5 linked regions of the Oryzias latipes genome follow. The main gene of each other region encodes a partner of the protein of the gene in region 4 in a complex. Links are inferred from orthologs where the notes say so. Each region holds a gene or a part of one and is shown on either strand. Other genes may lie near its edges.

Region 1 (5,178 bases), on a different chromosome or scaffold from region 4:
TACACAGACTTAATATGAAAAGACTTTAAAGTGACTCAGAAAATTATTTAGAATTCAGTTGATACATTTAGATTCACATATAAGATATGATAAAAAGTTCCTTCAGCAGCTTGTTGATTTGGACCTGTGTGTGTTTTGTTGTTATGTTAACAGCAGAGCATCGCACAGCAGAAACATTTCTATTGCTAGGAGTCTGACGCTGAATGCTCCTCTTTCTCAAGTTTAGGAGGAAGAAAAACTCCAGATCAGCCCCCCCCCCCCCCTTTTTTTTTTTTGTTCTGTTTTGGGCTTCATTCTTGGGATAAGCTAATACTTCTTCCAGGATCTACTTGGTTGTCGTTGAAGTGAGAGCATGCCCGGCTACAGTAGGTCCGCCCCCCCTTGGCCCACTCAGGTTTTATACCAGGTGACAAGCCTGGCGGTGGAGCAGCGGCGGGGACAGGGCGCACACCGGGCCGGGCCCCTGATTCATGGACAGAGCTCGAGAGGCACAGGCTTCTGCCCGAGCGGGCCTCAATCATTCAGGCAGAAACCGCAGACCCGGCAGCCGGTGCCGTGGCAGGACGGCTGGGTCAGACGGGGCTTCACGGTCTCGTTTCCGATCAGGGAGGCGCTGGCCGACTTGTGCTTCCATACACGGTTCTGCAGGCTGGAGAGACGCTGTCCCGGGGACCCGGCGGACAGTGTGCCGGTCGACCTGCTGCTCGTATAGTTGAACACGGATGTGCAATGACCTTTTCATCACAGGATGTTTGTTTGGCTGTTCTGCATTCTTATCAAGTGATTTACTTCATGACAAGGATGATGATTGGCAGACGGCAATAAAAACAATCAAAGTTTCTTTTTGATGGCCCATGATCAATTCGCATTGATCAGGGTTGACTAGTCGATCGTGATGGACGCACTAGGCAGTGCTATATCGGTGCTATTGTCACCTGAAAAGTGCTTTTCCTGTAGAAGGTGAAGAGTTACTGGAAACTAGAGAATGAAGGATTGTTCAATACTGTATTTTTCAATATTCCCAGAGTTATTTCTTGAAATGATGAAAAAAACTTCTTTTGTAATTGACAGATTTCAGAACACTGTCACTTTTTTTAAACAGAACATGTTTAGAACCTCATTGTCATACGTGTTCATGACTTTCTTTCAGAGAAATCCTGGTTGAAGAGAGTAACGTTCAGAGAGTAGACTCTCCAGTCACTGTAAGTTCCATTTGCTGCTTTTAAATCCAAAGTCGTTGATTGTTCGTTTGACCTTCTGTTCTCTTATTTTTTGTAGGTTTGTGGTGATATACACGGTCAGTTCTATGACCTGAAAGAACTCTTCAGAGTAAGCTTTTATGTTTGTTTTAATCCAAGCTCCAGACAAAATCGTGGTTTATTTTCCTGCACTGCTGTTTGGTTTTGATGGTTGGACACTTCTTCTTTATGGGCTGTGACGTAGGGCTGGACCATTAATCAGTTATGTCCAATTTGATGTTTTAGACTGTTTATTTTTGAGAAAATGGAGACGTTTCCCCCCAGCTCTCTGCTCTCTTCCGTGTTGGGAGTAAAAGCCGCCCGCCGGTCCGTCCAAAGCACGGATGTGAGAACAGCAGCGAGCAAAGAGGAGCTACTTCAGCGAGGCGGAGCAATGAAAACACGAGCGCCACGAGAAGTGCCCCGTAACTTCTGCTAGTGACCTCTGTGTAGAAATAGCAGTACTCTGTACTCAGTAGTTTTAACAGAATGTCTGTACAGAGGCCTTGAAATGTGTTTGCTGATGCCAGATCCAGGTCAACTTTAAAGCAAACGGTGTTATTAAAACAAAAGTTGGGCTGTTTGCTTTAAACTGCCCTTCATTCTGTCTGTACACGTGTGGGTTTACAGCACAGCCGCGCTCCTCTGGTGTCCGATGGTCCGACCGGTTCTCCTCAGGCTGTACTGTGTGTTTTAGCCTGAGGCCTTCTGCTGGCCTCTTTGTGTTTTCTGCCAAAGGGATGAAGAAACGGTAGCGGGTCATTTATAGAAAGGGACGGCTGGCTGGTGTGTGGAGGGGAGGCCATTAAAGAGCAGAGCCTCACTCCTATTGGAGTTGAATCATGAGAACCGCAGAAGTTCAGGGTTTATTATGGAAACCCAAAAACCGTCAAGTTTTGAAACGTTAAGGCATTGTGTGTTGATTCCACTGATTTTAAACCTGCCATTTACCAGGTGGGGGGAGATGTCCCAGAGACCAATTATCTCTTCATGGGGGACTTTGTGGACAGAGGCTTCTACAGCGTGGAGACTTTCCTTCTGCTGCTGGCCCTCAAGGTGAACGATTTGAAGTCAATCAAGCCCTTCCGTGCTGCACTTGTGCAGGTCTCTGACATAAATCCTCCTGTTTTTGGTTCCTCAGGTGCGTTATCCAGACAGGATCACTTTGATCCGGGGAAACCACGAGTCCAGGCAGATCACACAGGTCTATGGCTTCTACGATGAGTGCCTCCGCAAGTACGGCTCTGTGACGGTGTGGAGATACTGCACCGAGATATTCGACTACCTGTCGCTCTCTGCCATCATCGATGGAAAGGTCGGACGGGTTTTCTTCACGCCGTTTCCTCCAAAATGTTGGACGTGAAAAGGTTTTCCTTTGGCTTTTGTTTTGATGGCTTTCATTCTGTCCTCCAGATCTTCTGTGTGCACGGAGGGCTGTCCCCCTCCATCCAAACACTGGACCAGATCCGGACCATTGACAGGAAACAGGAAGTGCCTCACGATGGGCCCATGTGTGACCTTCTGTGGTCAGACCCTGAAGGTAACGGCTTCAGCCAGAGCCGGACTCCGTTTGAGAAGCTGCACGTTTGCCTGATCTCTTCGGTCTGCTCTCAGACACCACCGGGTGGGGGGTCAGTCCCAGAGGGGCTGGATATCTGTTCGGGAGCGACGTGGTGGCTCAGTTCAACGCCGCCAACGACATCCACATGATTTGTCGAGCGCACCAGCTGGTCATGGAGGGCTACAAGTGGCACTTCAACGAGACTGTGCTCACCGTGTGGTCCGCACCCAACTACTGCTACAGGTGACGGACACCTGTCCGGTTCCACTGATTTGTCTCTGTGTAAAAGCCTCCCTTTGGGACACGCCCACTTAAGGAGTTGAATGCTAGTTAGGTTTAGGTTAGCGGTTAGCTGTAGGAACAGCGTCTCTAATTCAGACTGCTGCTGTGAGGAGATTTACTGGCTGTGCTTCAGCACGACTAGAATGCAGATGCAGAGAAAATGGACCTTTGGGAACCGGCCAGTCCTGCTAAGACTGAAAAGTACAACTGTTTACTTTAGGCTTTGCATTCAACCAAAGCTGTTAAATGTTTGTTTGTCTCAATATTCAAAGCAAAAAAAATTTATTTTATTTTCTGTAGTTAATTTATGTTTTCAAGCAGCAAAACTCCAAATATTTGTTCTGCATTTAGAAATTCGTAGCATATTTTTGGCACTATGAGGAGCACAGAATAAACCTTCATTTTGGTCAAAATGACTTGTGATGTGGAGCGACTTAAGTAATTAACGTGTAGAGCGTCGCAAACAGGAATTAGAAATATTGTTTATAAAGTCTGGACTTTCCTCTGCCTTTTTATTCTCTCTTCATGGACCCTATAGTGCAGTGCGCCTTATATATGACGTAATGTAGAAAATAGGTTATTTATTGGTGGTGCACCCTATAAAACAGAAAATATGGAATGTTTTCTGGACATTTAGGTGTGCAACGGATGATTTGTATGGACCACACGCCACGGCTAAGGTTTAACATGCGTCAAAGGTCCTAGTTAATGTTTGTCCTAAGGTGTGTGAGCCTAAAGCTCCCGCCAAAAGCGTGTCGACCTCCGCATGGAGGACGCAGATGATGACAGATGGCGTTTCTTCATTTTGAAGAGCTCTACAACAGCATCAATGAGCAGCACACGCCTCCATGTGTGCCTCATGAAACCATTCACTCTCCCAGTGAGGAGCAGCAGCTGCCCCCAACTGTGGCAGGAGAAGCCGCCGCCCCTCTGGAACCAGTGGGAGGGGCTTGTAGCAGGGGATGGTGGAAGAATGGATAATAGTCAATTCCTCCTACATTCCCTGCTTTTCTTACTTTTAAAAAAAACTGTATATACATTTTTTTGCACGGTGATTTTGATCAAATCGATTAATTGATCTGAATTGATCCAATCTTAGTAGATCAATAATAGATCCATTAAAGTAGAAATCGATCTTTTATGCTCATTTTTTTCCGGGGATCTAATGTATAACATCAGTAAAGCCAAAGTCTGCTAGCTTGATGCTAACGTATAATGGAATTTCCCATAGGACGGCTAATGCTAACTCTTGGACGACCCAAACATACATTACTGACTCAATGAGCAGCTTTATAGACTCACAGGCAGGAATTTTCCAAACTCTTTTACAGAAACATTTTTGAAAGTAACCATTTGTGGTCTAAAGCTCCATTTTTTGCTCCAATCTTCTGGAATAAAGTGTAATGCTATAAGGAGAGCTCCACCTAGTGGCCAGACGGAAACGCCCTCCAGCAGAGACAGACCATAATGATCTGGTTGTTCAGTTAGAGCTTCTCTGTTGGAGAAAGCATGGAACGCCGTGTGCTGTTAACCATCTCACTGCTTTATTGTGTCAGCTCTCCTGCTGCACTTTAGCTCAGATTGACATCCTGAGGATTTTGTCTAAATAGGTTTATGTTGAGTTCAGAGAGTCATTAGTGTTTATAGAAAAGCCTCAATGAGCAAATGTTTTAATGTTATACATTCGTGTCTGTTTACATACATATTTTGAAATATTTATATACTTTTCATAAAACATGTTTTGTGGGCTTTTATCTTGTTTTCTGATCTGAAAAGTTCTGAGATCCGCTTTAAACCTTGTTTGTGCTGAAGACGGCGTCCTTCTCGCCTAGCGGTTTGAGGGTCTGTGCTGGTTTAACCTCGCCGTGTCTCCTTGCACTCAGGTGTGGAAACGTTGCGGCCATCTTGGAGCTGGATGAGCATCTACAGCGGGAGTTCATCATATTTGAAGCAGCGCCACAGGAGACCAGAGGCATCCCCTCCAAGAAGCCCGTCGCCGACTATTTCCTGTAGAGCTCCAGGCCAGCAGCCATAAGGCGCCGCCATTCTAGTTCCAGTTCTCCCCGGCGCCTCCGGCCTCCTGCTGCTCCCCGACAG
Region 2 (6,861 bases), on a different chromosome or scaffold from region 4:
TTCAACAGCTGCAAAATTCAGCAGCAATGTATTGACGAGGACCAAGGGGCGGGAACACATTACACCGATTTTAAAATCACTGCATTGGCTCCCTGTGTGCTTCAGGATTGATTTTAAAGTTCCTTTATTGGTTTATAAATGTTTTTATGGTTTCAGGCCTTCATATTCATCTGATATGATTTTAAAGTGTGAGCCCTCGCGGAACCTGAGGTCCTCTGATACAGACCCTTTGGTTATTCCAAAATTGGAAACTAAAACATACGGCGAGGCCTCATTTAGTTATCACGGACCTCGCGTGTGGAGCAGCTTCCCAGCATGCCTCAGGGCCGCAGAGACTGTTCATGTTTTTAAAGAAAGGTTCAAGACCTACCTTTTTAATATAGTTTAAGTTGAATTTAGTAATGAATTTATTTAATTTTTTTGTTATTTTGTTTTTTCTTTTCACTCATTTGATATTTTTTATTCACTTTTACTGATTTATATCTGTCTATTAAGGTTTATTTTTATATTTATTTATCCGTTTCAACTTTATTTTATTGCTTTCACAATTTATTTGTAACTTCAGTGTTTTCCTCAGAGGGATCCTCCACATCAGTGACTGACCTTTTTCAGTGAACGGGGTCACTGCAATGGGATCTACCAGGTCTGGCTCTTATACTTAGATCTGGGGGGTCCCGTGGCAGCTGTTCTGTGAACTTTAGTGGGGGTCAATGATCTGGACATGTCCCTGGACATGCAGATTTCTACATTGCATCATTTCTCTTACCATGGTGTGTGTATGTGTGTGCGGGGGGGGGGGGGTTCTGGGCACTGTATTGGTTTTGGACAAATTATTTGGCTATTGTCTTGTCTTTTGTTTTTAAATTTTAATTGTTTTCATGTAAAAAAAGGACTTTGATTAGCATGGCACATAACAATTGAAAAAGTGCTGTAGAAATAAAGTTTGATTTGATTTGATTACTGGACAATCATCTCTGAAGTCGGCCATTACTTCTACACTCCCCTACTGGAAGGCTAAAATGGCAGCTCTCATATTGGCTGATGTTAACTTGAACCTTTCTCATATGGGGAAAAAAGGCAGGACCGGATTAAGTCATTTTTTTTCCCCTTTTGTTTTTGTCCACACCCATGTTGTACGCCGGACCCTCCATACTAACGCTAACTACTTCAGCTACTTCAGCTTGGAAATGTTTTTTAACATTTAAAGCTTTTATAGTAGAGTGGTGCAACAAACATTTTCACTTATTTTAGTACAAACAGCCCCTTCTAACACATGACAAGTTTGAATGTGTTATTTCTGTGGTCCTAATCTGTCATATCAAAATATGATATCCTATTGTCATTAATCTCTTGATGCTCAAGCTAATATTTAAGTTAACCCTCTTCACACACAGTCACAGCAGGACCCCATAAGCAGAATGAACATCTGTGGCCACAGACCCCAAAATGTGATGTCCACCCATGTGGACCACATGTCTGCAGAGGGTAAAAATGCCTGATGCTGCCTCCTCTTCTGATGACAATCCAAAGAAAAGTAAATACAGAATTGTTCTTTTGAATTCAAACTCATTTACTTAAAAAATGTTGTCAAAATATATTTACATATGGTATGTATGTTGAGTATGAACAAGATTAAATAATAATTATTAAATATTTTCCATTGTGTATTTCAGACACATCTTTGCAAAACCAGCGAGTGTCCAAATGTTTTTTGAGTGAAATCTATTTTATTTTCCTCACAATTGCAGTCTGAATTATCAGTGATGGTTAAGTCTGCCGGGCATCAGAAAGTGCAGCTCAACAAAACCAGATATATCAACATTTACTACGGCGGCGGACGGGATGAAAGAGGACGTCCAACATGCCACAATGCTTACCCCCTTTTTTCTTTTCTTATTTATTTAAAATTTTACATTTTAAATTCTTATCAAAACATTTGGATTCTTGACATTGAGGTTGTCTAAAAGTGGACCAGTAAGGAAGTTATTTGACGTTTTACCCTACAGATAAGGATTTAAAAAAGTGAACAAAACCGCAGCAGAGGGCCCCGTGTCAAAGTTTGCCTGGGGCCCCCAAACTGCTAAATCCGCCAGTGCTCAGGTCAGGGTGTTTTTGTCATTCTGTCCCGGATCAAGCCGTATGCTTCGGAGTTTCCGCAGCTCCGAACTTTGCGTTAGAAATACTTACAGTCGTGTTGGGTTTCTGTTTATTTTGTGTGCGCTGCCACTTTTACGGACAAGGCTGCTGTGGACGACGTGCGTGCTTGCGTGCGTGTATGCACAATGTACTGTAGGCAGTAGTGAGGGGGTGATGACATGCGCACACATAATGCGCGTGACCAGAAGGAGTGGGCATTCAAAGTAGGCTAAGCTCTGCTATTGGTAACACACGCCCTCCCGGGACCAGTTCTGAGAGATCCAGGATGGAAGGTGTGCGTACTGCGGGTTCGGAGGATTCGGTTCGACTTATGTGACGTCTCCCATCCGCGAGCAGGGATCTCCTTGGAAACGGATGGTGGCAGCCTCCCCCCTCCCTCCTCGGTTGGTGCTGAGCTTGCTGCCTGGCTTCCCACAGAAACTACTGACCGACTGGGCCGCTTTCATTCAGCAGATGTTTCCCGGCAGGATGGCCCTGAGCCCCCCCAGCCCGCTGTGCGGGCCCCCAGAGGAGCTGCAGGAGCTCGCCTTCATAGAGCGGCCGATTCGCAGGACCCTCAAGGTAGGGATGCCCTGTCCACGCGCCGGTGGACAGTTCTAGCACGCACGTGCGCGAATAGGCGCGTGAAAACTATGCTGATAGAATGATGGTTCTATGAAGAAGCGGGGGGAGGAAGATGGGCAGCCGAGGAGAAGCAGACGGAGACCCGCAGCGTGACGCAGTTCCTCAGCCTGTCCATACAGAGACGGAGTTAAGATGACGGGCACGCGCTCTTCCACTCTGTTCGAATTTGAAGAAAGAAAGACAGCACGTTTAAGTAGCTGTCACCTCACTGGTCACGCGAAGATGGTAATGACATGTTGGGACAGAGCAAGGGGGTAACTCTAGCGGGCGGGGGGGCAGTACCTCTAATGACCAGAGAGGCTGGTGCTCAGACTGAGCATTTTGTATTGACGAAGTTACAATTGGGATTCCCCCCATAAATAAACCCTTTTATTGCCTGGTGCTTAAACCTTTTTTGCCTAAATGGTTGAACATTTAATACATGACAATTCTGGGGGCAGTGTATATTTTTTAAATTTGTAGCTTTTTTAAACAGTTTATTTTTGCTTAATGGGGTGGCACGGCTTTATGATTGACCGATGATGATCGCGGTGGATTCAAGTATTTGCGCTTGGAGGAGGAGGTGATATTTGAGCCCAATCAAAATTGACATATTTCATAAAACTGCAATAAAAACACTTTTTTTCAAATTAAATGAATCACGTGCCCATTAACTCTGCACAGGTAGCCAGTTTGCATCCATTTTCTTACCCACCGGGGTGCTGAGTTTGCGGAGACTGTCCGGCTACTGTTGGCCGAAGGAGGGAAACACCCTGAACAGATCGCCAGCCGGTCGCAGGGCTATGGGGCTGGAGCGACTGCGCTGGCTACGCCGGCTGAAGAGCAGACAGAGCACCACTGCTGGATGGGGAGGCAAAAAAGTGCACTTTTCTTATTTTTTCATTTTGAATACTTCTTCGTTTGGACAAAATAATATTTTGAGGGAATTATTCAATTATTTCACTGGTTCCAAATCAATCCCCTGGTGCCATTTGTCGTCACTCCATTGTCATCCTGGCATACATGGAACTGCTACTGTAGTCAGAAAGAGTTTTTGGTGGCCTTCCTTACTCTCTGACATGAGGAAATATGGGACTGCAAGTCCAGTTTGTGCCAGGAACAAAACCTCCTGTCTACGACCGTCTAGTCTCCTCAACCCTCTACTATTCCCTGCTGGCCCTGGTCGCATGTCACCATGGACTTTGTGACTGGTCTTCCAAGCTCTGAAGGTAACAACACTATACTAACAGTCGTTGATAGATTCTCAATAATGGTGCACTTTATCGCTCTACCAGGGTTACCTTTTAGACCGCTGAGGTACTCTTGCGTCAGGTTGTCAGGTTGCACGGCATCCCTAGACACATAGTCTCGGACAGGGGCCCACAGTTCACAGCAAAGATCTGGTCTGAGTTTTGCAGACTGCTGGGTGTATCTGTTAGTCTCTCATCACGTTTCCATCCCCAATCCAATCTCCATCAGAGAGACTTAACCAGCAGCTGGAGACCAGCCTAAAAATACTATGCTCTTCAGATTCTTCGTCCTGGTCACGCAATCTGATTTGAGCAGAATATGCCCACAACACCTTACATTGACCTCTACTCGTCCTTTGAGGTTGTCTACCACCTGTGTTTCCCACCCTGGAGGGTGCTGTCTCTGTCCCATCAGCTCAAGCATCCATTCGTATGATCCATCTTTTCTAGTGCAGGGCTAGGTTGGAAATTGTTCAGGACTGTGGACTCCTAAAAGCACCAGGCAGACAAACACAGAAGACCGGCACCCGTGTACGGACACGGTCAAATTGTATGGCTATCCACCTTCTGCTGTGTGTGACCCATAGGAACCTGGCACTCCGTTTCATCTAACCCTTCCCTATAACCAAAGTAATTAACCCTGCTGCTGTAAGGTTACGGTTGCCCTAGCCCCATATGAGTAAACCCCACCTTCCATGTGTCCAAGCTCATGCCTGTCCAGGAATCTGACCTCGTTCCCCCTGACAGACCCCCTCCCCCTGCTCGGTTCATAGATAGGGGTACCGCCTACACCATTAGGGCTCTTCTCAACTCACGACGCAGGGGAAAAGGCTACCAGTATTTGGTCAACTGGGAGTAATACGGTCCAGAGGAGCAATTTTGGGTCCCCTCCAGGCTCATTTTGGACCCTGTCCTGATTGGTCAGTTTCATCGGGATCACCCTGGGCAACCGGGTGATCCATCAGTAGACGGCACTTAGGTGTGGGGCACTGTCAAGATTTGTTTCTGGTTCTCCATTTCTGCCTTCCTATCCCCACTCGCTTCAGCTGTGACCCGGGGTATATTAGATTGGTGTGTTCGCTCATTCTCTGCCAGTTCGTGGTTCCTCATCTGTCGTTGAATCCAACCGTTTGCTCAAGTAATTCTTGTCTGTCTTGTTTCTACTGGCTTCCCAATACATGACTTCCATGGAGTCTGCTCCCCTCAGCCCTTGTCGCTCATGCACAGAGTCTGCTGGCCCCACCTCCCCAACACTCACAGGATTCCCCTCCATGTCAATGACGTCACACTTCCTCAGACGCTCACCAGGACATCGGGCCATTCAACGATAGGACCTTTGGACTCTAAATAAACTTTTTCCTTCCCTGTGCGTGCCTCAACTTAGGTCTCCACTAAAACATAACAATAAAAATAATTTAACGTTTTTGTGAATGACAATTTACTTTTCATTAGAATGATGTATTTATGAGTTATGTTATGTATTTATTTTTAAAATATATCTATTTATTCAAAACATTAAAAGTCATTAACACTGATAATTCTGTACATTTTTTCCTTCATGTAAAGCAGGGGTGCCCACAGTTTTTTGCCGTGCGAGCTACTTTGGAGGTGACAAGCTCTAAAAGATCTACCCATCTATTTATATATATATACCAGGGACGGAATCAACTATCAAGGCTAATGGGGGAATTAAAATAACAATGGTGAGCTATTGACATAATCCAGTGAGGGCCCCCCTGAGAACCCATGAGAGACAATGAATCACGTCATGCCAGACGTCGCCCGTCCAAACAAGATCCGCGTCAGGTGCTGGGGAACCAGAGCACACTGATGGAAAGTGAGCTACTGGAACAAGACGGAAATGGACTAGATGTGAGAACAAGGTTCTGTTGGAATGTTACTACTCCAGTAAAACTACTAATAGAGGTTATGTGCAGAGAATGTGGAGTGAATGGATGCTTCGAAACCCACAAGAAAGGCTAACTGCCAAGCTCAATGTTCCAACATCCGCAAATGGCAACTCCTATCACAACTTGAGATTGAAGCGGTACAACACAATTGTAACACAACGGGAGTGCCAGAACACCAGGTCAGAGAGAAGGCTAAACCACACTCCTAGCCTGGCAGCAAAAGAACCAGCTGCTAAGAGACAGGGACTTACCCCGAATGGCTAACAGAAGGGCGAACAATCCTGATCCAGAAGGATCCCTCAAAGGGTGCAGTCCCATCCAACTACCGGCCAAAAACCTGTCTCTCCACAACATGGAAGCTCATGTCAGGCATCATTGCAACCAACATGGATCAATACATGAGAAACACACAGAAGGGCATTGGTAGAGACTCCAGAGGAGCAAAACACCAACTCCTGGTTGACAGAACAGTCGCTCAAGACTGCAGGTCACGACACACCAACCTGTGCACTGCCTGGATTGATTACAAGAAAGCCTATGACTCAATGCCACACACATGGATCACTGAATGCTTGGAGCTGTACAACATCAACAGGACTCTAAGACCCTTCATAGGAAATTCAATGAAGCTGTGGAAAACCTCTAGCCCAAGTGTCTATCAAATGTTCGATATACCAAGGTGACACTCTGTCCCCACTGCTGTTCTGCATAGGTCTGAACTCCCTCAGCCAAATAATCAACAAGACCGGCTATGGATACCGACTTAGAAATGGGGCCAACACCAGTCACCTCCTCCACATGGATGACATCAAGCTATATGCTAAGAGCGAGCGTGACATTGACTCCCTGATCCACACCACCAGGATCTACAGTACTGACATTGGGATGTCATTCGGGCTTGAGAAATGTAGCCGGATGGTGACAAAGAGAGGCAAGGTAGT
Region 3 (6,011 bases), on a different chromosome or scaffold from region 4:
TCTGCCTATCCAGGGGAGAACTCCCCTACAACTCCAACAGATGGAGAACAGTGCAGCCGAGTTCTGGGTAAGGCGGGTGCTCGTCCTCCAGACCGACAGATGGCACAGGCAGACCGAGGACCGAAGGAGAAGGGTTTGGAGGGACTTTGTGTCCATCCACAACGGCAAATTGACTTTAAGAGCTCAAACGGGGTCGTTTTCTTGGAGACTGATCTTCCTCCTCTTCGTCATCTTCTTCATCTTCATCATCAGGATAATCCACCAAACCTACGACAAGACTGGGCTAAGGGGAAGAATGGAAAGAAAAAGGAAACCTTTAAGTAAAAGATAACAATGGCTTCTTGAAGACATTTTAAGAAGTATTACCTTCACAACACACGTAGGAGGCAGAGCAACTGTTTTGACGGAGGACGACGGACTGCTGTTTGGAGTGACGACCGGAGAAGCAGGAGGGATTGCAGCTGCCTTCCCATTATTGGCACCATTTGCTCCGTTGGCAGCACCTGCAGATATAAAGATACTGATAAAGTTGCAATCCACAAAAAATAAAAAAGGTTCTTCTGGATATTTCTGCCAGTGCAGCTTACCCTTTTTGGTTTCCATGAACTTGCCGTAGCTGTCAGAGAAGTCATCCTCCATCCTTTTCTCCGTTGACTCTCCATCTTCATCATCCTCATCGTCATTGAACCACATCTCTTCATCTTCATCCAGCGATCGCGCATCTCTGCGATATCTACAGGGGAAGAAAACAGATTTACCAAACAGTTTAGCTTCTATGTAACAGAAAAGTGAAAAAGAGAATTTTTTTATAAATTCTTGAAGATGCAGATCACATCAATAAAAGGACTGTATCTCAGACTGCTCACCTGTTGAGTCTCTGACTCTGTCTGTCTTTTTCCTGTTCGTAACGCCCTTTCAGGCCCTTAAAGGTCTGAACATACTCAATGGGTTCAAGTGCTTTGTAAAAGTTATCCACAATGTGAGCGATGAGTGATTTGATGTCCTCCTAAAAAAAGACATGTAGAAAATCTTAATTTTGTTGCAAACACAAACACATGTTGCAGTTGGAGCTTTTACGCACCACTTTAATGAACTCAAAGAGCTCAATGATGGCTGAGTTGAGGAGGTTGTATCGAGTGCCGTTGTCCAGCAGGGCATTTATGACAGGCTCAAACAGGTTCCCTTTGATGATGTAGCGGTTGTAGTACTCATCTTTCAAACCAATGATTCTGCGCATGAAACGCAGGGCACCTAAAACACAAAACAAATACATTATTGTGAAAAACATTACACTCGAAGAAAACAAGACTGGAAGCTTGGGCTGCAGGTCATTTGCTCCTGGATGGACTTACAAAGAGCAAGAAAGGTGTGCTTCGAGTTCATGAGCACCAGCACTCTCCTGAGCAGGTCTTTGTTCATGATGTAAGTCTTGATGTGGTAGGTGTGGTGTTCCACGCAAAAAGTGAGCAGCTCCAGGATCAGAGCCAACAGCTGAGCTGTCTGGAAGTTGTCTACAGAAACAAGAAAACGACTTATGTTTACTTACACAACAAACCAAGGCTTGAGGCAGTGCTTCACAATTAGTTTTTTGCAAGGAAGAAATAGGTAAAAAACATTATGCTGATTTTTTTCAAAATGATTATTTATGATATCATATAGTGCAGCTGTTTTCCTGCTGTCTTCATGTCAAATACTGACACCAACTAAACGACAGGCAGACAAAGAATACATTTATGGAAAATACAGAGACGTCATCAAAATGTCTACAATAGTTCTTAAAGAATGACATTATTAGCATGAGGTGAGTAATCTAAAGGCACGTGATGATCCTGGTGTTGCGCAATCTAGCGCTCCGCATGCGCTGTTCAACCTGCAGCCTGAGCGCACTACCCCTCCCCTTTCATTCTCACACACGCTGTCTGTGACAGCAGACAGGAGCAGCTGCAGGGACGGCAGTTCACAGGTTTCAGGCTGTTATAAACTCTGTCATATAACAGATAAGAGTAAATCAATAGTGGCGCAGATTTTATTCCAAGCACTGAGCCGCTGTCACTACAGCGCCCCGTTAAATTTGCGCCCCAGGCAATTGCCCGTATTACCTGTGCCTGAAACCGCTACCACTGCGCGGCCCCCCCTGGCATCGCCCCACTATTTGAGAAGCACTGGCTTAAGCGAACCTGTGTACTCTGAGTAGTAACGTTTCTAGAAACTGTGCTGTACACAGGCTGGAACATTTACTGCATTAACACCCACCTGGACAGACAGGGTTGATCTTTGTGGATCCGTCTTGCTGATCTGAAACATCAATATCTGCATAAATCAAACAAGACCTTTTCCCATACAGCAGAAGAAAAACAGCAAAGTCCCAAGTTTACCTTTCGTGGTCTTGTCATGTGCCGTGTTGGCCAGCAGAGGAGCAGTGAGCACATGCATGCAGTACTTGTAGAAGAAACTCAGAAACTCAGTCTTCTCTGTTTTCTATCAAAACATGAAAGGAGAAAAAGACATGAAAATTTAATCAAAACAACAATCAAGCTTTATTTTTTTCATCAAATGTATTTTTTTTTTTTACTTTAGGTCAACGATCAAGATTTCAGACCAACTATCAATAATCAGCTGGAGTTCACAACGAATCTATGAGGCTTTTAGGTTGAAAAGTAACAATTTGCTGTTAATTATTTAACATAAAAATGTTGAAATGAGCTACAAGCTCAAACCGACCAAACCAAAAGTGTTTTCAAGAATGAACATCAGAAAAAAATAATTACATTCATGTAAAATAGAGGAATCCTTTTTTCTGTGTAGTTGTGTGGAGCTTACATTGGTGGAAGCCAGCATGTTTTCAGGATCAATGAGAGTCCTGAGAAGGCCCATCAGCTGAACAGCTCCTCCTAACTCTGGGTCTGAGTCACAGATCATCTGCTTGATCACCACATTTATCAGCAGAACATCCTGACACACAAGCACAAAGGGAAAACAATGAGGAAAGAAAATCTGAAACGTATACTGTGATGTTTCTAAGAGTAAGTAAACAGAGTTTATAGTAATCAAAACGGCATATAGATGAACTTTCATAAGGATTATTGAAATGGGGTTTAAAAAAAAAGCAACAAACCCCTAATTGCTGATAACACTTCAGAAATATGGTTTCATATTATCCAACTTAAAACCCACTTGATTTATTTATTTTGTACAACAATATAAAAGTAAAAACAGCACAACACTTTCAAAAATCAGTACATTTATAAATCAATATCACTGTGGATACAGGTTAAACTCAAAGCAGAGCTTGCTTGTGACAGATGAATCCAAACTTACGTCATCCGTCTGCTGAGGCTCCTGCATGACAAACTCTCTGACCATGGAGGGGCTGAATTCCACCAGGTAAGAGAAGATGTCTGTAGCTGCTGCCCGTACTTGTAGGTCATTCATTCCCTGATAACAACAAATTGGAAAGTGATGATGCACGCATTCCTCTGAATCATCCAAAAGCCAGCATTTTAAACAAAAAACAGACATACCATTACTATTTCCAGAGCAGGTAAAATCCCCAAATTTGCCAAGGTTTTAAAAAAGGCATCCCTGTTTTGTGGTTGCAAAGTTTGGGAAAAAGCACAGAATTCCTTGACAAAGTTCACCTAAAAGTGAGAGGGAAAAAAGGACAAAAAGAAAAACGTAGTAAGTAAAAAAAACCAACATATTTAACCCTAATTTCCCTTGTTCTACAATGCTTTTTTCCAGCGGATGTCAATGATTACACCTGATCCAACAAAACAATTCAAATTCAACAAATGCTATACTATTGAATAAGGAAATGAACTAAGACAGTATTTACTCAAACTTCAAAATTAAAGACCAACCATTAATGCTTTCAAAAAAACAATAGTACAAATATTAAACATTTCCATTCGACTATAATGGAATGTAATCTTTGAAACCATGCCGTTTACAAATAGATTTTAAACAACAAATAAAGGGTTTAGTGAAGCATGTTGATGATTAACTTACCAACTCTCTCCTTTTACTGTCATCTGTGGCTTCATCTGTAAGCTGTGCAAAGACCTCTGTTAGGAACTTCTCATCCTCCTGTGGAAAACAGGGAAAACAGTTCAGGTATAAACAAACAGAATGACAGAAAAAAACAAAAACAAAGGAGAAGCTGGAAGGTTTAAATATTTAATTCTCTTTCACACTGTCGCCCACTGACTATGCCTTTTGTTTATTAAATAAAACTTTACAGAGAGTTGGCTCTATACACACAATTTCTAAAAAAATTGATACTAAAAAAAATGAGACGGTCATTTTTTCAATCCAAACACCATATGTTCTCATTAAAGTGTTCTAATGTATTTTTAACCAACTGCGGTTGTCTCTTTGCCAGGACTCCCTTGGTATTATGCCGGCTAAATCAAGTAAATAAATAAATAAAATGAAGTGTGAAAAAATTGAGCAATTTCAGATCAAAATTAAAAACCTGGAAGAGATCATGCAAGAGATTGGAAGAAACAGGAAATCAGTTGGAACTGATTACACCATGGAAACAATACAAACAGTGAAGAGTGCCGGAAGTTATTTTTAAAATATATATATAAAAGACAACTAAACTATTACTATCAGGTAACATTAAAAAAAAAGTTAAAAACAGAAGAAATCTGAGATATATGATGAAAATCTCAAATGATCATCTTAAACTTTTATGTGAAAATGTATTAAGACATTATTATGGAAACAATAGAGGGGGACACATTATGACAAAGCAGGTTGAAGCTTTGTAGAACAACTCATTCTCTTGGCACATTCTAAACGCTGTCATTTTTTTAAACAAATATCTTGACTTACAGTGAACTTTTCAAGAAAATAATGCAAAACACACTAGCACAAGTATTATCCTGTTCAGTTTCTCTCAATTATCTCCTATTTATGTAGAGAACACATTTTTAAAATCACAATTTCATTTTTTTGCCATAAATTTTTTTGTATTAGAAACTGGAGAGAGTACATTAACGTAGCGAACAACAGAAGATACAGACTGTCCAACAGTCAATGTGCAGAATGTTGATTACATCTTAAAAGAATCCCTTTTAATAGAAAACATTTTAATTTACATTGTTAAATACATTAAACTGAAACTTACACTCACTTTAGCCTGGTTTAGATCCTTACCTGCAACATACTGACAATCTCCACTTTGTTGAAGAAAATGAAGGACGTGAGGGTGGACAGGAAGTTCTCCTCAAACACTGAGGGTGTAGGCAGTATTATGTCCTGGATGTATTGAACTCTGTAGGTCTGGTGGATTTTCTGCCGCAGCTCAGAGTCCGTAATCGGGATCACTTCCTTAAATTTTGCGGTCTTGGTCAAGAACTCCCGATGTCTTTTAGGCTGAACCAATGCTGGGTCATACTCAAGGCAACCTACCACATCCATGATACAGTCATCCGAGAACATCACCTCAAAAAGGGCAGCTTTGTTGAGGAACAAGACTCCCCGCACAACCTCATAGAGGTGATGCAAGCCTTCTCTGTTGTCCAGGTCCTCGCATACTCTGAAGAGACCCAGCAGTTTCTTTATGTAGCCCTCACTCATTAGAGCCAGTGCAAGTTTTTCGCGCCGAATGGGTGAGGAGAGAACAGAGGTAACCAGGTCAGCGATTTCCTCAAGTCGACCTAGTTCACATGGCGGGAGCTCAACCAAGTGGCTTGTCTCTGGAATTTCCTCAAAGTGGTCCTCCTCTGATTCATCGATGGGATCCTGAGTGATGTCCAGAGCAGGGTCTTTGCCTTGTACCTGAGCAAAAATAATAAAATAAAAATCACATATTTAAAAAAAAAAATTTACAGTAAAGAATCATGAACTCCCTTACTTGGGATACTGGTAGTAAAAACTGCAAAACTCGCAGCATTCTTATACATTCTAAACGTATGTGATACTTGCAGGTATGAGCCACAGCTAAAAATAAACTTATTTTTTTTGCTAAAATACAATGTCAAACTTTAACGAGTTAAAAGACC
Region 4 (7,148 bases):
GCCTTACTCTGACAGAGATGAGCCTGCCAAGGACAACTGGGGCAGAATTTTATTGTTTAATGCCTGAAACTGAGGGCTGTCTCTGAATTCCCTCCCTTCTCCCCAACTCCTGAAACACAATATAGTTCAGAACTTATTTACCAAAGTAAAACCTAAGAAATTCGATTGTAAATATGAAGACTCTAAAGCCAATGTTCTCATAAATTTTTAAAATTATTTAGCCATTTTCGCCAACACGCCAAAGCCCATCAATAGGCAAATTGATGATGATTTATTTTTTTAAGTATAATTTTTTTTTTTTTACCTTAAGTATGGTAAAAACAATTTTTTTTCCCGAAAAAAATTGTTTAACCGCAATGCATTGTGGTCTATATTTCCTGATCTACTGTGCATCGATGCTCATTAGTTTTAAGCAGAGACCTCAGGGACTTGTCCAGGGCACTGGATTTTGGAATTGTAGATTTGAACCCCCCGGAAAAAAAAATGGCGAACGCCACAGAAAGTGCATAAAGTAGTGAGGGAATTCGGACACAACCTACAAAATTGTCTTCCTGCAGCAGCTGGCTGGGGATCTGACGTTACGCCTTTGTCTCCGCAGTTCCCTTTCGAGGACAACATGTTCCAATCGCTGTTCTACCCGGTCCAGAGCAGGTTCCTGGACACGGTCAACACTCTGTGCGGTCGCATTCCCCAGGTCTTCCTCAAGCAGATAGAGAAGACCATGAGGAGTGCTTTTGAGAGGAAGGTGGTGCGCCATGCCAGACCTCGAAATTAACAGCCGAAGACCATGTTGCCCCACCCACACCCCCATGCTGTGCATTTAAAGCAGACGCAACCTGTGAAGGATCATGAACTCTACAGAAATAAAAAAGTAAATAAAAAGAAACCAAACAAAGAAGTCACTTTTTTATTTATGTTGAGAAAAATGCTCATCTCAAGCATTTCTAAGCGACTAAAATGAACATTTTAAAGGTTCAATTGTATGAGAGCAACTCTTGGACAGTTTAAAGAATGGTGAATATTTTAGCGTCACCATGAAATGTGAACGAACCACCACTGTCTGTATTAAATGTTTGTATGTTAAATGTTTGAAAAGCACTTTTTAAAAAAGATTTTTTTCTTTTAGACCGTGAGACTTTGCCTGACCGAGTTGGACAGATTGTGCAAGAATGTTTTATTGGAGTGAAGTTTAAACGCCATATTAATGTTCATGTGTGCCATGTTTACCATACAAAATAAATGGATTTGTGTAGGTGTGTGTGAGCCTGTAATATGAATCTGTGCTGTTGTGACCCACGTGTTACATGGAAAAGTTTGTGGAGTCTACATATGTTTTCAGAATTAAAATTTTTGCAAAAAACTAACCCATTGTGAGTCTTTTTCCCCCTGCTATTACCTTGTTTGCTTTTGTCCTGGTAAGTGGGCGGAGTCTTAAAGACACCACATTCTTTTATATGAAAGACCCACTCTGATAAAATTGTGTTTCTGTTGTTTTTAACATGTTCTCGTGGCATTTTTTCTGACGATGGAAGAAAAATATCAAGAAAGTTAAGCTTGAGATTGCATTTCTGAGTATTACTTCGTTCAAATTGTGAATTAGGAGCAGACAAAAAATGCAGTTTAAAAAAAAAATTGTGCTCCGCGTCATTCTGATTCATCTATCTAAATGTTCGTTTTCCTCGTCCGAGCTAGCATCTGGCTCAATTAGCTCCAACATTGGTCGCCATTTTTTGCTGCAACGCCACTAGGGATGTGAGGGACTGTAAGCTAGCAGGAGAGAGTGTAAATAGAGAGCTCTCAGCAAAGGGGAAGGGTCAGGGGGGTGGGGTTGCTCCGGGCCAATGGTCCCACCCACAACTCAGACATATTTTTTAATAATAATGACCAACTCTTATTTTCTTTTAGTTGCTATATTGTAATGAAATACATCAATTACAATATACGCAGCACACAGATTGGGTGACAGCTCATGGCTGCTGATTGGTTGATTTAGTGAGAAGCAAAACATACTGTATTTGTAACTTTGTCATTGTAGATAAATACATGTTTATTTGTGCGTGTGACATTTCACACACGGACAAAGCAACTTTATAGACAGACATGTTTGTTTTCCCGTTATAAAACAGTTTTACAGACGCACACATTTCTAATGACGGGTACAAACATTTTTAAAACAGACAGACAATCTGTTTTCTACAGATACTAAATCTTTCAACACACACAAATGTCTCATTACAGGTGCAAACCGTTTTGTGCAACAAATCTAACTTCATATATGCTGCTCTGCAAAAAAAAAAGTCTACTGGGAATGCTCTTTTTTTAGTTGTGTTGTATCAGTTCTCTTCTGTTTGTTGAGTTAGACTCGGGCTGTGACTTAACGACGCCATCTTTAATTACCCCCCCCCCCCCCGCCGCCTCCTAGCCTAGCTTAGCATCGGCTAGCCGCCATCCTGCCGTTGACACCCTCAGCACTAACAGAGGCGACGACGTGATGGAAATTGACTCGATTCAAGAGGCGCTCATAGGTCACTTTCTTCTCCTCATTTAACACCAAGCTGACGAAAAATATCTGATAAATGTCTGCTCTAGGTTACACTAAAAAAAGCGATAATGAAGTGGGTTTTAGTTTACGAGAGCTAGTGTCAACCGATGCTAACTTATTAGCTAGTGCTGTCTTCGAAACGCTTAGCTTTCTTTTTAATGTATTCCTTTCTTTTTTTTTTGAAATAACTAGTTAGTTCTTATAGTTAGCTTTCTTCTTTTTGTTTTCCACGCACCATGATTTCAGATGAATTAGCCGGCTAACGCTTTGGGGAAAACTACCGGCTTCCCCGTTAGGCTAAAGTTAGCATCGCAGGGCTACGATAAGCTAATAGGAACTGCTGATCAACACTTAACGAAAGGAAGGGTTCAGCGATATATATTAATTCCTCGGGTTGAGTTAAAGTGGGCATTGAGCGTTAACCAGGTTAAACTGGACGACCACAAATTAATCCGACATTCTCAGCTGCTCAGTTTGGCTAAACTGTTCGTTTTTTAAGCTAGGCTAAATCGAGACCTGTTCGTGTTCAGCCAATTTGTTAAAATGTTTCTACAGATTTTGACAAGAAATCTAAAAAGGAACCATCCCCTGTTCTGGAGGAGTTCCTGTGCCATGTTGCCAAAACTGGACAGACCATGTAAGTGTCCTTTTTCTCTCGGTTTTTCTGCTCCAGTATTTGAAACTCTTCGGTTTACTTTGAGCCTTTCACTTTCCATTGATGCTCTATTGTTCACTTTCACAGGAAATTCTTACTATGACAGTTACCTATATGCTTTTCCTAATGCAAGTTCTGCACGAAATAGGGTCAAATAGAACGGGGGAAAAGGGTCAGTCAGGATGAAGGGATCAAACTTATCTCGGATAATTCCTTGATTTTTGAGTCATTTTTGTTTGCAACCTGGTTTTCAGATTCGTGACAGCTTCTATACTATAGAGGTGAACTCTGGTTTACTTCTCAGTCTGAAGTCCATGCAGATAGCAGTTTATGGTTCGGTGTCTGCAGTTACATCCCACAGAAAACACTGCTGATATTGTATTTGGACCCATCAGAGAGTTTTTGGAGATGTTTGCGGGGGGGGTTTCCGGTCATAAGAAGAATACATCTTTGAAACTTTCCACTTTCTCCAGTTTTACCCGTGTCTATTATTGTCAGTGTTGTCGGAAACGTTCATCTGCCCCGATACCATTTCCTGCTTTTATGGAACTCAACAAATGTTGAATGTGTTGCCCTCTGCAGACATCGAATGTGTGCCGTGTTATTTTAAACGTGACGTTAAAAACCTGTTACACAGAGAATGGTGCAGCTTTACCTTGAAACTTGTGAATCCACGACCACAAAATTTTATTAAAGTTTGGTTAAAGTGAGCTTTCTTTATGAGAATTATTATGGAATAATGAGTGAAATAAATAAATGTATTACAGATGTTGGCAAAAATGAATACTTATGCTTATTACAGCTGTGTGTGTGAGGGGCTAAGTAATCAACTGTAGCATCACCAGTCGTCTAGCGATAACTTGTCTCTTCGAGAAAAGAGGTTAAAAAATAAAGGTTTTTTTTGAGGTGATGGAAAACGTTTTAAACAAATAAGAAACATACAAACTGGGTTGATTTACGTTTCCCAGCTAGTATGAGTGTAAGGTTCTTTATTTTTTCTTTCTATCGTCTAACAAAAGCCCATCCAAGAAGCTTCATCACTTCTAGTGGAAGAGGAAGACCACAAAATCAGCTTATTTATAGGTCTTTGTTTTATTCAGAATATCCCTTCATTCGGGCTTAGATTTCAGTTTCGGTGTATTTACAATAATAGGTGAAGAAATGTCGTAGATGCTGTGGAGCTACAGAATGGTAAACATACTGAGGCCATTCTAGTTCAAATATATGTTAGCTTGATGCTATATTTAGGGATACAGGAGGTTGTTGGTGTTGGTAAAAATGACCACTTCTGCTGATATTTCTGTTAGTAAAGCCTTAGTCACATGCTGCCGTACTGGGTTTGGTTTTTCCAGGGTTGTCGACCTTGAGGGACATCGTGAAAATAAAACATATGATTGTCTTGCGTGTGTTAAGCGTATTGTAAAGTATTTGTAAGGATGTAGGTTTGATGTACAGGTGCTGGTGTCGTACGGGGGCCTTACGCTACACTATTTGTTTAGTAAGGTGCGCATACTGACTCATTGTTGACGGCGTGCAATTGCTGCACACGTGGGAGTGCAGGTCATATGCAAGTGCCTGTAGGACGTCCACGGGAATTAAACTCGTTTGTTCCCCTTTCGGCATATCGTTTCAGGGGTGGCCACAGCCAATCAGCTTTCACTGATTCATACAGGTGGCAGAGATTGTTATTTCTTCTGCCACAACTCTATTTATTTCCGGGCTGGGGACCGGCACAGTGTGTGAAGGGTCTTGCCCAAGGACCCACACTGGATGAAGATCATCCAGAAAACATTATTTGCTCTTCGAGCGTTCTACGAATTTGATATTGTTTGTGGAGCGCCTGTTTGGCCCGCACAGGTTGGTCAATTCTTAACCTGCAGACAGCCTGGATCCACCCATAAGGGAAGTTATGACTAAGGCGTAAAGTGTGGCTTCTCCTATATGATTGAATGAAATGAAAGTGTATTAGAGATAAATCTGTATAATAGAAGGGTTTTCATTTGCAAAAGGTCAATATTTGGTTTATTTGAATATTTTAGAAGTTTCTATTGGATCAAACATTTTTATAGGTTGATCATATCAATGTGTTTTCAGTCATTTATACCCAAAAAACAAGTTCAGAGCTGAGAGTAGGAAAGAGCGATTAAGACTCAGAACCGAGCAGCTGGTTGTTTTTACCAAAGAAAGAGGAACATGGATTAATACTACGACAAAGGAGTACTTTACCGGTTTCCTGTTCATCCTCATCTCCTGTGTCCAACTCTCCAGGGTCCAGTGGTCTCAGTTCAAAAGCTACTTCCTGTTCAAGCTGGAGACGGTGATGGACGACTTCAGAGCGTCGGCGCCCGAACAGAGAGGCGCCGCCAACCCCAACGTGGAGTCTGTTCCATTCGAAGACATGAAGGAGAGGATCCTGAAGATTGTGGACGGCTACAACGGGTGAGTGGACGCTCCAGTTGTGCCGGCCGGCAGAGGGACGTGGAGTTACCGATCAACCATCACCTCATCTCTGAATATGAAGCTAAAGAAATGCTAAGGGAGGAATGTCATTCTTGGTCACGATTTGGGATGTAAAAGGAAGAAAAGACACCGCTCCTGACGCTTGTGGGGGGAGATGTTTGACGACTTGCTGTCCCACATAATTCCGGGGAGGAAAAAAAAAATATATTGTTTCCATCCAAAAAACAAATACAATAACGTTCAGGAGGAGAACAAACGAGTGTGATCAGATTCTCCTCCATGTTGGTTTTGGACTCCACCCACTGATCACATTACAACACGTCACTACCAGACTTGAGTTCTTGATTGGTTGACAAGACACAAATTCTTCGACTAAGTTCAATTATGTGAACTTTGGGACATTTGTGTGGCCAGAGGTTTTGACTCGCATCTGAATTTTTAAGTTGCTGTCTGTGCTGAGAATGTGTTTCCACTCCAGAATGGTGCTGCGTGTCGTAGTCTATGCCCCCCCCCCAGCCCCCACCCCCCAAATGACTGCGTTTGTTTGAACTCCAGGATCCCGTTCACCATCCAGCGGCTGTGCGAGCTCCTCACGGAACCCAAGAGGAACTACACGGGAACAGACAAATTTCTGCGGGGGGTGGAGAAGGTGAGAGCCAAAACACACAAGGGGGGGAGGGGGGTGCTATTTCCAGAAGCTTCCACGTGACCTCAACTCATTCGGCATTTCTTTGTCCTGTTCAGAACGTGATGGTGGTGAGCTGCGTCCATCCAACATCAGAGTAAGTGCTGGCTTGGTGCACGGACGGCGTCCAGCGGACGGCGAGCGTCTTCTGACTTTGCTTGTGTTTCAGGAAGAACGGCAGCACTTCTGTGAGCCGGATGAACGGGGTGATGGTTCCCGGGACCACGTCTGCTTTCACAGAGAGGTCGGTCCAAAATAACGGGGAGAAAAAAAAAACGCCCAAACCCTCCTCGTTGTCTGTTGGTTTCTAACCTTCTCCTTGTCCTGTCAGGAAAGTGAACGGTCCGGGAACGCCGCGGCCGCTCTGCAGACCAAAGGTGTCCCTCGCCAACACAGTAGCAGCTAACGGTCTGCCAGACAGCACAGACAACAAAGACCTCAGCACAGAGCAGGAGGGCAGCAGAGACGGCAGGTACTGCCCAAGGCAGGGTGCAGCACAGCGCCCCCTGCTGCCCAAGCGTGCTCTGACCTCTGCCTGTCTTTGTCAGTGGGGCCTCGCCTTCAGACGGCTCCCCGGAGAGCGCCGTGAAGAACAAACACTTGGACGACGAAGAAGAGGAGGAGGAGGAGGACATGGAGGCTGAACACCAGGAGGTAAAGAGACTCAAGTTCAGCAAGGAAGAAGACGATGAGGAGGAGGAGGAGGAGGAAGAGGAGGAGGAGGAGACGGACGCGCCAAGGCCTTCGGAGAGCTCCTGCACTTCCCAGGAGGCAGAAGCCATGGTCCAGTTGAAGGACGGGCACAG
Region 5 (5,799 bases), about 8.1 Mb from region 4:
TGTGCAGCAGTAGTGGTTTCTGTGGTCCACGAAGACCAGGAGAGACTAAAAGGGATTTGAGACGGTGGGAGGGAAGAAACCAGAAGACATCTGAGAAGTCAGAGGACATTAGAGACAACCGACGTTCAGGTGGAAAGCTTGGACTGGTCTGCACCTTCTGCAACTGGAGTTTTTCTTTTACAACCAGAAATCCAGGAGCGGCTCCTTATAACATGAGCTAATAATGCTGTTCAGGTTCAGATGAGTCCCCCTGAGTTAGTGCACACATCAGAGTCCAGCAGGACTCACACACACAGCCATGAAATCCACAAAGAAAACAAAAGACTGGGTTTAGAATTAGCTTTGGAAAGTGTGAGTCTGTGGCGGTGGGGTCGATGTTAGCGTGGGGGTGGGAGCAAGTTCAGACATGACTATGGCAACCGCCACCACGGCCACCAGAGTCCTGCTCGGCTGTGGAAATCTCTGAGTACTTTGCATTTTCTTGTTGTCGTGTGCGCTTCAGCGTCCCTCCAGAGACAGGGCCGCGTGGTCTGAGCATTCGTGCACTTGTACATCCCAATTCAATACTCTCAAAGGGTTCTGGTCCAGATGCTGGTGTGGCCAGTTAAGCCAGCCGTGTGTCGGTCAGGCAGCCAAGAAGGTAAGACAGGCAGGCTGTGAAGGTGTGTGAGAGCTGAGGCTAGATAAAAGGGGCCGTGTCCATTAGGCCTTTGCTTGGGTCCATGCTGGCGAAGAATCGGACGTCTCGGTCCTTGTCGGACTGCAGAGCCATCACAGTCTCCTCCAGCTTGTTAGAATAGGCACAGCCCGGCTCTCTAAAATAAGCTGGGGGAAAAAAAATCAAAAAAGGAGAGAAAAGGTGACATTTTTGCACAAACAGGACATTCAACATCCAACCCAGCATTTCTGAACCTTGCTCATCATCACATCTTTTTGTTGTGGTTGTTGAAGGTCACACTCCAAGGCTTGAATTACAAGGAAATAAACAATGTTGGGAAACTGCAAATAATCTACACACATGAAATGTTCCTGCTCTATACCTTTTTCCATCACGCTCTGACGTAAAGCCTTGGCCACCAGAACGCGGACATTGGCTACAGGGTCTGTGGAGAGGCTGAGCAGACTGGGCAGGAGATGCTGGCTGAACTGCTCCATGGGCATGCAGTCCTCCTCCACAACAGCCTGCAGGAGATTCAACAGAACGGTCAGTCAGAAAGCTGCAGGAGGAAGTCCGTCAACAAGGAGTTCAGTCCAGAGAAATCACATAGAAAGTCAACAAACAGGTTCATCAACAAAGAGCATTCTATGGCATCAACCTTATCTGATTGTGCAACACTGAAGACAAAAAAACAAGTTTTGTAATTATTTTCAGTTGCAGATAAAACCAGCAACACAAACACCCCCCTTTCTGAGCTGAATTGTCCCTCTTGTGTCTTTGAGGACATTTGATTTGGAGACAGCCATGGACACAGAAACAGGAAAAAAAAAAAAAAAAGTGGAAAGCTGCACTGACTAGTCACAGTTTGTAAGTTGATGGGTAAAAACCCCTCAGAGCCCAGAGCACTTTGCTCACTTTTTGAGGTTCAGGTTATCTGCAAGCTTTAATGTGCATCTGGGCTTTTAAACACAAATGAAGTTCTGTTGTTTCACCATGGCTACATATGTAAAGTATGACATGGGCAAGTAAATGAGTTGATCGTTCCCAGAGAATTGTGGGAGGATTTTATAGGCGGGACCAAGCCGAACACCATCTACTTGCTGGTCTTTAATTGACACTGACAAATGTTTTCTTTTGTATGCGAAAACAGCAGAAACAGCTGATATTCAGAGGAAAGTGTTCCTGTTAGAGATCAAACAGATTCACCAGAAATGAAACAGAGAAAACCACAGAACTTTTTAGTCTGTCCAAGTTTTACTCAAATAAAAATGATTGAATGCATGTTTGCATTTAGGAATCAAAGTCTTCTTTGCTGTATTAAAAATTAAGTGAAAATTTTTCCATCAGTTTTGCTTGTAACTTAGAATCACACAGCAGTAATAAAGTTCACACCGGTCAGTCTGTCTTTTGGTTTAGGAGCTCAGTATCAGCATTTTTATACATTCAGTTGAAAGATTAAAACCAAAATAAACAAAAGCGTGTTCAAAGAATTATTGAGAATACCTCTTCCCTAATATAATGTGGATTCTAAAAGCAAACACAGACCTGGCAGATGAAGGCAAACGCCTGCCTCCCCACCCACTTGGGACAGTGGCAGAACCTCACGGTCAGCTCATTGATGAACTCCAAGCCCAGGTCATCAGCCCTGCTGGCATACAGCTTCTGCAGAATTTCCACCACCTGACGACAGGTAAGAGCACACAACCCACTCAGACCACTTCTAGAAGTTTCAATGAATGAATCAGCAGCTGACAAATTGGAATATTTTCCCCAGATGTCGCCTTGATGCTAAAACCTGAATCATGATGGTTATGGGTTTTTTTCTTCCATGTGTGTAGCATCTAAACTTCCTCTCTATTGTGATACTACTGTCATGTTTCTTTAAATATTTAGACATGTCTTTCTACAAACCCCATTTCTTGTAAACTTACCAGTTTGTAAGAAATCCACCGGACTTCTGACACTTTGTCAGAGCAAAGGGTGAGCGCTATATGTCTGAGGTAGTCGTACACGTCACGGTGGTTGTACAACTCTATTATCAAGATCAGCTGCCTGTAGGAAAAAAAAAAACAGCAACACACAATTATGAAGCTGATAGAAAATAAAGTCAGTTAGAATACCTGTAATTTGAACAGATCTAGGGCTAAAAGAACTATGCCTGATTTTATTTAAGACAGGATTGTGTTATGACTTCATACCTATCAAAGCAGAAATGCATTTATGCTCCATGATATGTGGCAATAGGAGCTACTTATTGCGTTCATGTGCACACATGTTCAGTGTGTTGGTTACTGTTGTCACTGCTTGAAGCAAACGTTAAAAATACACAACAGAAAGGGCAAGCTGCCAGCAATGTGAAGCCCGGACTAGATCCAACTGGCACTAGGACCCTGAAGAGACCACGGTCAAGAAAGAGAATATTCTCCAGACACTGTGTCATGAATAATTCACACTTCTCCATTGACGCATGTTTTTGCCTCAACAGTGCACAAGTGTGTGAGCAGAACCAAATGCTAGAATGTTGTAGAATGACTTTCTTTTTCATGTTATGGTTATCTCTTAAAATATACAGATTTTGGCTTTATTCCCCCCCCAAAAAAAGAAGCTAGAAATACAAATAATTATTATTTACTAATCCAGCAAGAGACAGCACATGAATCTGCTGTCAATCAGGATAATGTGGTGTTAAATAAACATAAAAAAAGGGAATGTACAATCCTAAACCCCTTTTATAGATACAGTGTTCATCCATGGTGGTCTCGCTGTTTTCAGATTTTTTTTAGCGTGATTTTGCATGTTTTGTTTACAACACAATGTGTTCTACATCTTGATTGGCTGTTGACCTCGTCAATCAATTTCCTCTGTGCTGCATCTCCTGTAGAGGATGCTTTCAGCGTTCCCCTATTTACATAAAACACTGATCGAGAACAGATCTTTGTATTTATTCTATAATACTGGGCTCATTTTTCCATGAAGGTCTTAGCTTTGAGAGTTTAAACAAGAGAGAAAATGGGAAAATGTAAAGTCTGTCTGAAAAAGTATCGAAAGTGTGCCTAAAGGCTTTTACAGCCTTAAACATCTATACTCTTACTTTGTGGATTTCACCCATCTCGGTTTAATTATCCCTGACAATAAACGAGGGAACACTGTTATTAGTCTGGCTAAAATATTATGATATCTAATATATTGGTTTGCATCCCTCACCCCCTACTGAAACTGTTTCTTAACACCATAGTAGTAGGTTTGCAGATGACAGCCCCTAAACCTACTACTATGATGGAATCAACCTGGATGAATGAGAGTCCTCATAGACATGTTTTTTAACACAGAAATATGAAGCAGTGCTTTATGAATAAACTGAATAGAAAATGATGTTCAAGTCTGTTGTGTGTGAGGAAACAAAAGTCAACGTACTCTGCCAGCTCATATCTGAATCTCCAGTTGCGACTGTTGTCTGTGACCATGAACTCCTGCAGTTGGTACAGATACTCTCTCCTTTTGTCTGCATGCAGCAGCTGCAACAAGAGAATGACAAACAACATTATCTAGCACACCCATGCCAACGACTTCCTTTGGTTTAGAAATGATTTTTAAAGAGCTTCAACATCTTTCACGAAGCAGCTGTGACTGTACCTGCAGCTTTAGTCTGCATGGGAATTACTTTACCTTTAAGAAGTCATAAAGATGCTTCAGCACGCCGATGCGAACTTCATCCAGATCTTTCAGGAAGCCGTTGAATATGGGAACCAGATCAGCGGCTGTCAGCTGGTCGCCCAGGATAACCGCCAGTTCATGGATAGAGAAAGCCAGTGTGCGTCGCACTTTCCACTAAGAAAGACCACAAAGGAAAACACCACAAGATGACAGCAGCAGAAACAGAAAAACAAGCAGCTTAATAAATGAGTTACTTTTTAAGACAGGAAAAAAAACCTAAGATTTACACAGCATAGAAACAAAGGCTCTACATTCACTGTCTGGTTGAGCTAAGTTTTATTGAGACAAAGGGATTTGCTCAAATATGATTAATTTATTGACATTTTAATCTAATTTAATTTAAAATTGTAAAAAAAACAAAAAACGGTCGCTTTATTTGTCTATAATAAAAAAGTTATAAGGGAAAGATAGAGCAAAGGCAAACAAATCATTTGTCCCGACAGTTTGTAGCTTCAGAGTATGTTCCTTTTGCACGGTGTTGTTTCACAGCTCGGAGGGAAAAATACATCAATACCACAACATTACTGATGAAAAAGGACCAAAGTCAAAATCATTTTAAGCTAATTTTTACAAATCAAACTAGTCTTGGAAGAATAGGAAATCCTAAATGAAATACCAATATGGTTATTGTTTACCTTGTGGCGTATCCCCTCAGGGGTTGCCACAGCCAATCACAATGGGACCTTTTCCACTTGATTGAAACACATTTCTGTGGTACAGCTACCATATATTTCTGATGTTCTTTTCCTTCTATTTGAGAAGAAATCTGTTCAGAAGAGTCATGCAAGTTCCTGACATGTTTCCTGCAGAGTTGTGGCCTCAGCATTTTCAGTCCACACATCATTGTTCTTGCTGTTGAGTCAGGTCACATCCCAACAGCTTAAAGTTCAAATTCTGAACAAAAACCCCCAGAGGAATAAAAAGGCAGCGTCTGAGCAGCCTCTCTATCCAACCTTTTCACACACATTTAAGAATCCAACTTCAAATCTAATCCCATTTGTCTTCTTGAGGTTTTCCTGACCTGTACGTCACTAGCGAGGGTCTCGTACGTGTCCTTCAGACAGTGCCAGTTCTGTCGACCAAGAGTGAGGGCTACTCCTGGGAGGCTGAAGGCACAGTGTTTGGCTATCTCCGTGTCCACCGTCTGGGCTCGTGCCGGGTCTGTCATAGACAGGTACTGGTCCAACAGAGGCTGGGGGATGACATTCTACAGGTGGGGGTCAAACACTGGGTTTAAAATGCATTTCTGTGCTGGTAAAAGTACAAAGGGAAAATCCAACTGACCTGGATTTTAGGTTTATCCTCAGACAACGGGCTGTGAGGAGAGTCTTCTTTCTCCTCCTCTACACTCTCGATTAGTTCACACTCCTGTTAAACACAGATCCACACCATCAGTGTTATAGATTAAAAAAGCAGATAACATTATC

What was found.
Region 1: ppp4r2 (region 4) and ppp4c share a complex: the UniProt entries of both Homo sapiens proteins name them as parts of the PP4 complex. The link is inferred for Oryzias latipes from reciprocal best matches to the Homo sapiens genes PPP4R2 and PPP4C.
Region 2: ppp4r2 (region 4) and ppp4r4 share a complex: the UniProt entries of both Homo sapiens proteins name them as parts of the PP4 complex. The link is inferred for Oryzias latipes from reciprocal best matches to the Homo sapiens genes PPP4R2 and PPP4R4.
Region 3: ppp4r2 (region 4) and ppp4r3b share a complex: the UniProt entries of both Homo sapiens proteins name them as parts of the PP4 complex. The link is inferred for Oryzias latipes from reciprocal best matches to the Homo sapiens genes PPP4R2 and PPP4R3B.
Region 5: ppp4r2 (region 4) and ppp4r1 share a complex: the UniProt entries of both Homo sapiens proteins name them as parts of the PP4 complex. The link is inferred for Oryzias latipes from reciprocal best matches to the Homo sapiens genes PPP4R2 and PPP4R1.

The regions. Positions count from the first base shown.
Region 1 is NC_019866.2:25,209,653-25,214,830, reverse strand, and holds part of ppp4c (serine/threonine-protein phosphatase 4 catalytic subunit), read left to right. Parts: intron 1-1,150; coding exon 1,151-1,202; intron 1,203-1,278; coding exon 1,279-1,329; intron 1,330-2,192; coding exon 2,193-2,294; intron 2,295-2,379; coding exon 2,380-2,553; intron 2,554-2,651; coding exon 2,652-2,778; intron 2,779-2,852; coding exon 2,853-3,042; intron 3,043-4,964; coding exon 4,965-5,094; 3' UTR 5,095-5,178. UniProt on the Homo sapiens protein: Protein phosphatase that is involved in many processes such as microtubule organization at centrosomes, maturation of spliceosomal snRNPs, apoptosis, DNA repair, tumor necrosis factor (TNF)-alpha signaling, activation of c-Jun N-terminal kinase MAPK8, regulation of histone acetylation, DNA damage checkpoint signaling, NF-kappa-B activation and cell migration.
Region 2 is NC_019882.2:23,187,950-23,194,810, reverse strand, and holds the start of ppp4r4 (serine/threonine-protein phosphatase 4 regulatory subunit 4), read left to right. Parts: upstream 1-2,254; 5' UTR 2,255-2,511; coding exon 2,512-2,718; intron 2,719-6,861. UniProt on the Homo sapiens protein: Putative regulatory subunit of serine/threonine-protein phosphatase 4.
Region 3 is NC_019873.2:15,892,826-15,898,836, reverse strand, and holds part of ppp4r3b (serine/threonine-protein phosphatase 4 regulatory subunit 3B), read right to left. Parts: intron 5,788-6,011; coding exon 5,164-5,787; intron 4,087-5,163; coding exon 4,009-4,086; intron 3,639-4,008; coding exon 3,522-3,638; intron 3,436-3,521; coding exon 3,319-3,435; intron 2,953-3,318; coding exon 2,821-2,952; intron 2,479-2,820; coding exon 2,376-2,478; intron 2,311-2,375; coding exon 2,254-2,310; intron 1,512-2,253; coding exon 1,353-1,511; intron 1,252-1,352; coding exon 1,082-1,251; intron 1,007-1,081; coding exon 867-1,006; intron 734-866; coding exon 588-733; intron 504-587; coding exon 367-503; intron 284-366; coding exon 176-283; 3' UTR 1-175. UniProt on the Homo sapiens protein: Regulatory subunit of serine/threonine-protein phosphatase 4 (PP4). May regulate the activity of PPP4C at centrosomal microtubule organizing centers.
Region 4 is NC_019863.2:21,901,544-21,908,691, reverse strand, and holds the start of ppp4r2 (serine/threonine-protein phosphatase 4 regulatory subunit 2), read left to right. Parts: upstream 1-2,394; 5' UTR 2,395-2,491; coding exon 2,492-2,525; intron 2,526-3,097; coding exon 3,098-3,179; intron 3,180-5,465; coding exon 5,466-5,636; intron 5,637-6,212; coding exon 6,213-6,306; intron 6,307-6,401; coding exon 6,402-6,439; intron 6,440-6,511; coding exon 6,512-6,586; intron 6,587-6,673; coding exon 6,674-6,814; intron 6,815-6,890; coding exon 6,891-7,148. Other genes in the region: gxylt2 (glucoside xylosyltransferase 2), read left to right, coding at 599-775. UniProt on the Homo sapiens protein: Regulatory subunit of serine/threonine-protein phosphatase 4 (PP4). May regulate the activity of PPP4C at centrosomal microtubule organizing centers.
Region 5 is NC_019863.2:13,851,284-13,857,082, reverse strand, and holds part of ppp4r1 (serine/threonine-protein phosphatase 4 regulatory subunit 1), read right to left. Parts: intron 5,741-5,799; coding exon 5,657-5,740; intron 5,580-5,656; coding exon 5,394-5,579; intron 4,487-5,393; coding exon 4,325-4,486; intron 4,174-4,324; coding exon 4,073-4,173; intron 2,711-4,072; coding exon 2,590-2,710; intron 2,339-2,589; coding exon 2,204-2,338; intron 1,183-2,203; coding exon 1,041-1,182; intron 826-1,040; coding exon 680-825; 3' UTR 1-679. UniProt on the Homo sapiens protein: Regulatory subunit of serine/threonine-protein phosphatase 4. May play a role in regulation of cell division in renal glomeruli. The PPP4C-PPP4R1 PP4 complex may play a role in dephosphorylation and regulation of HDAC3.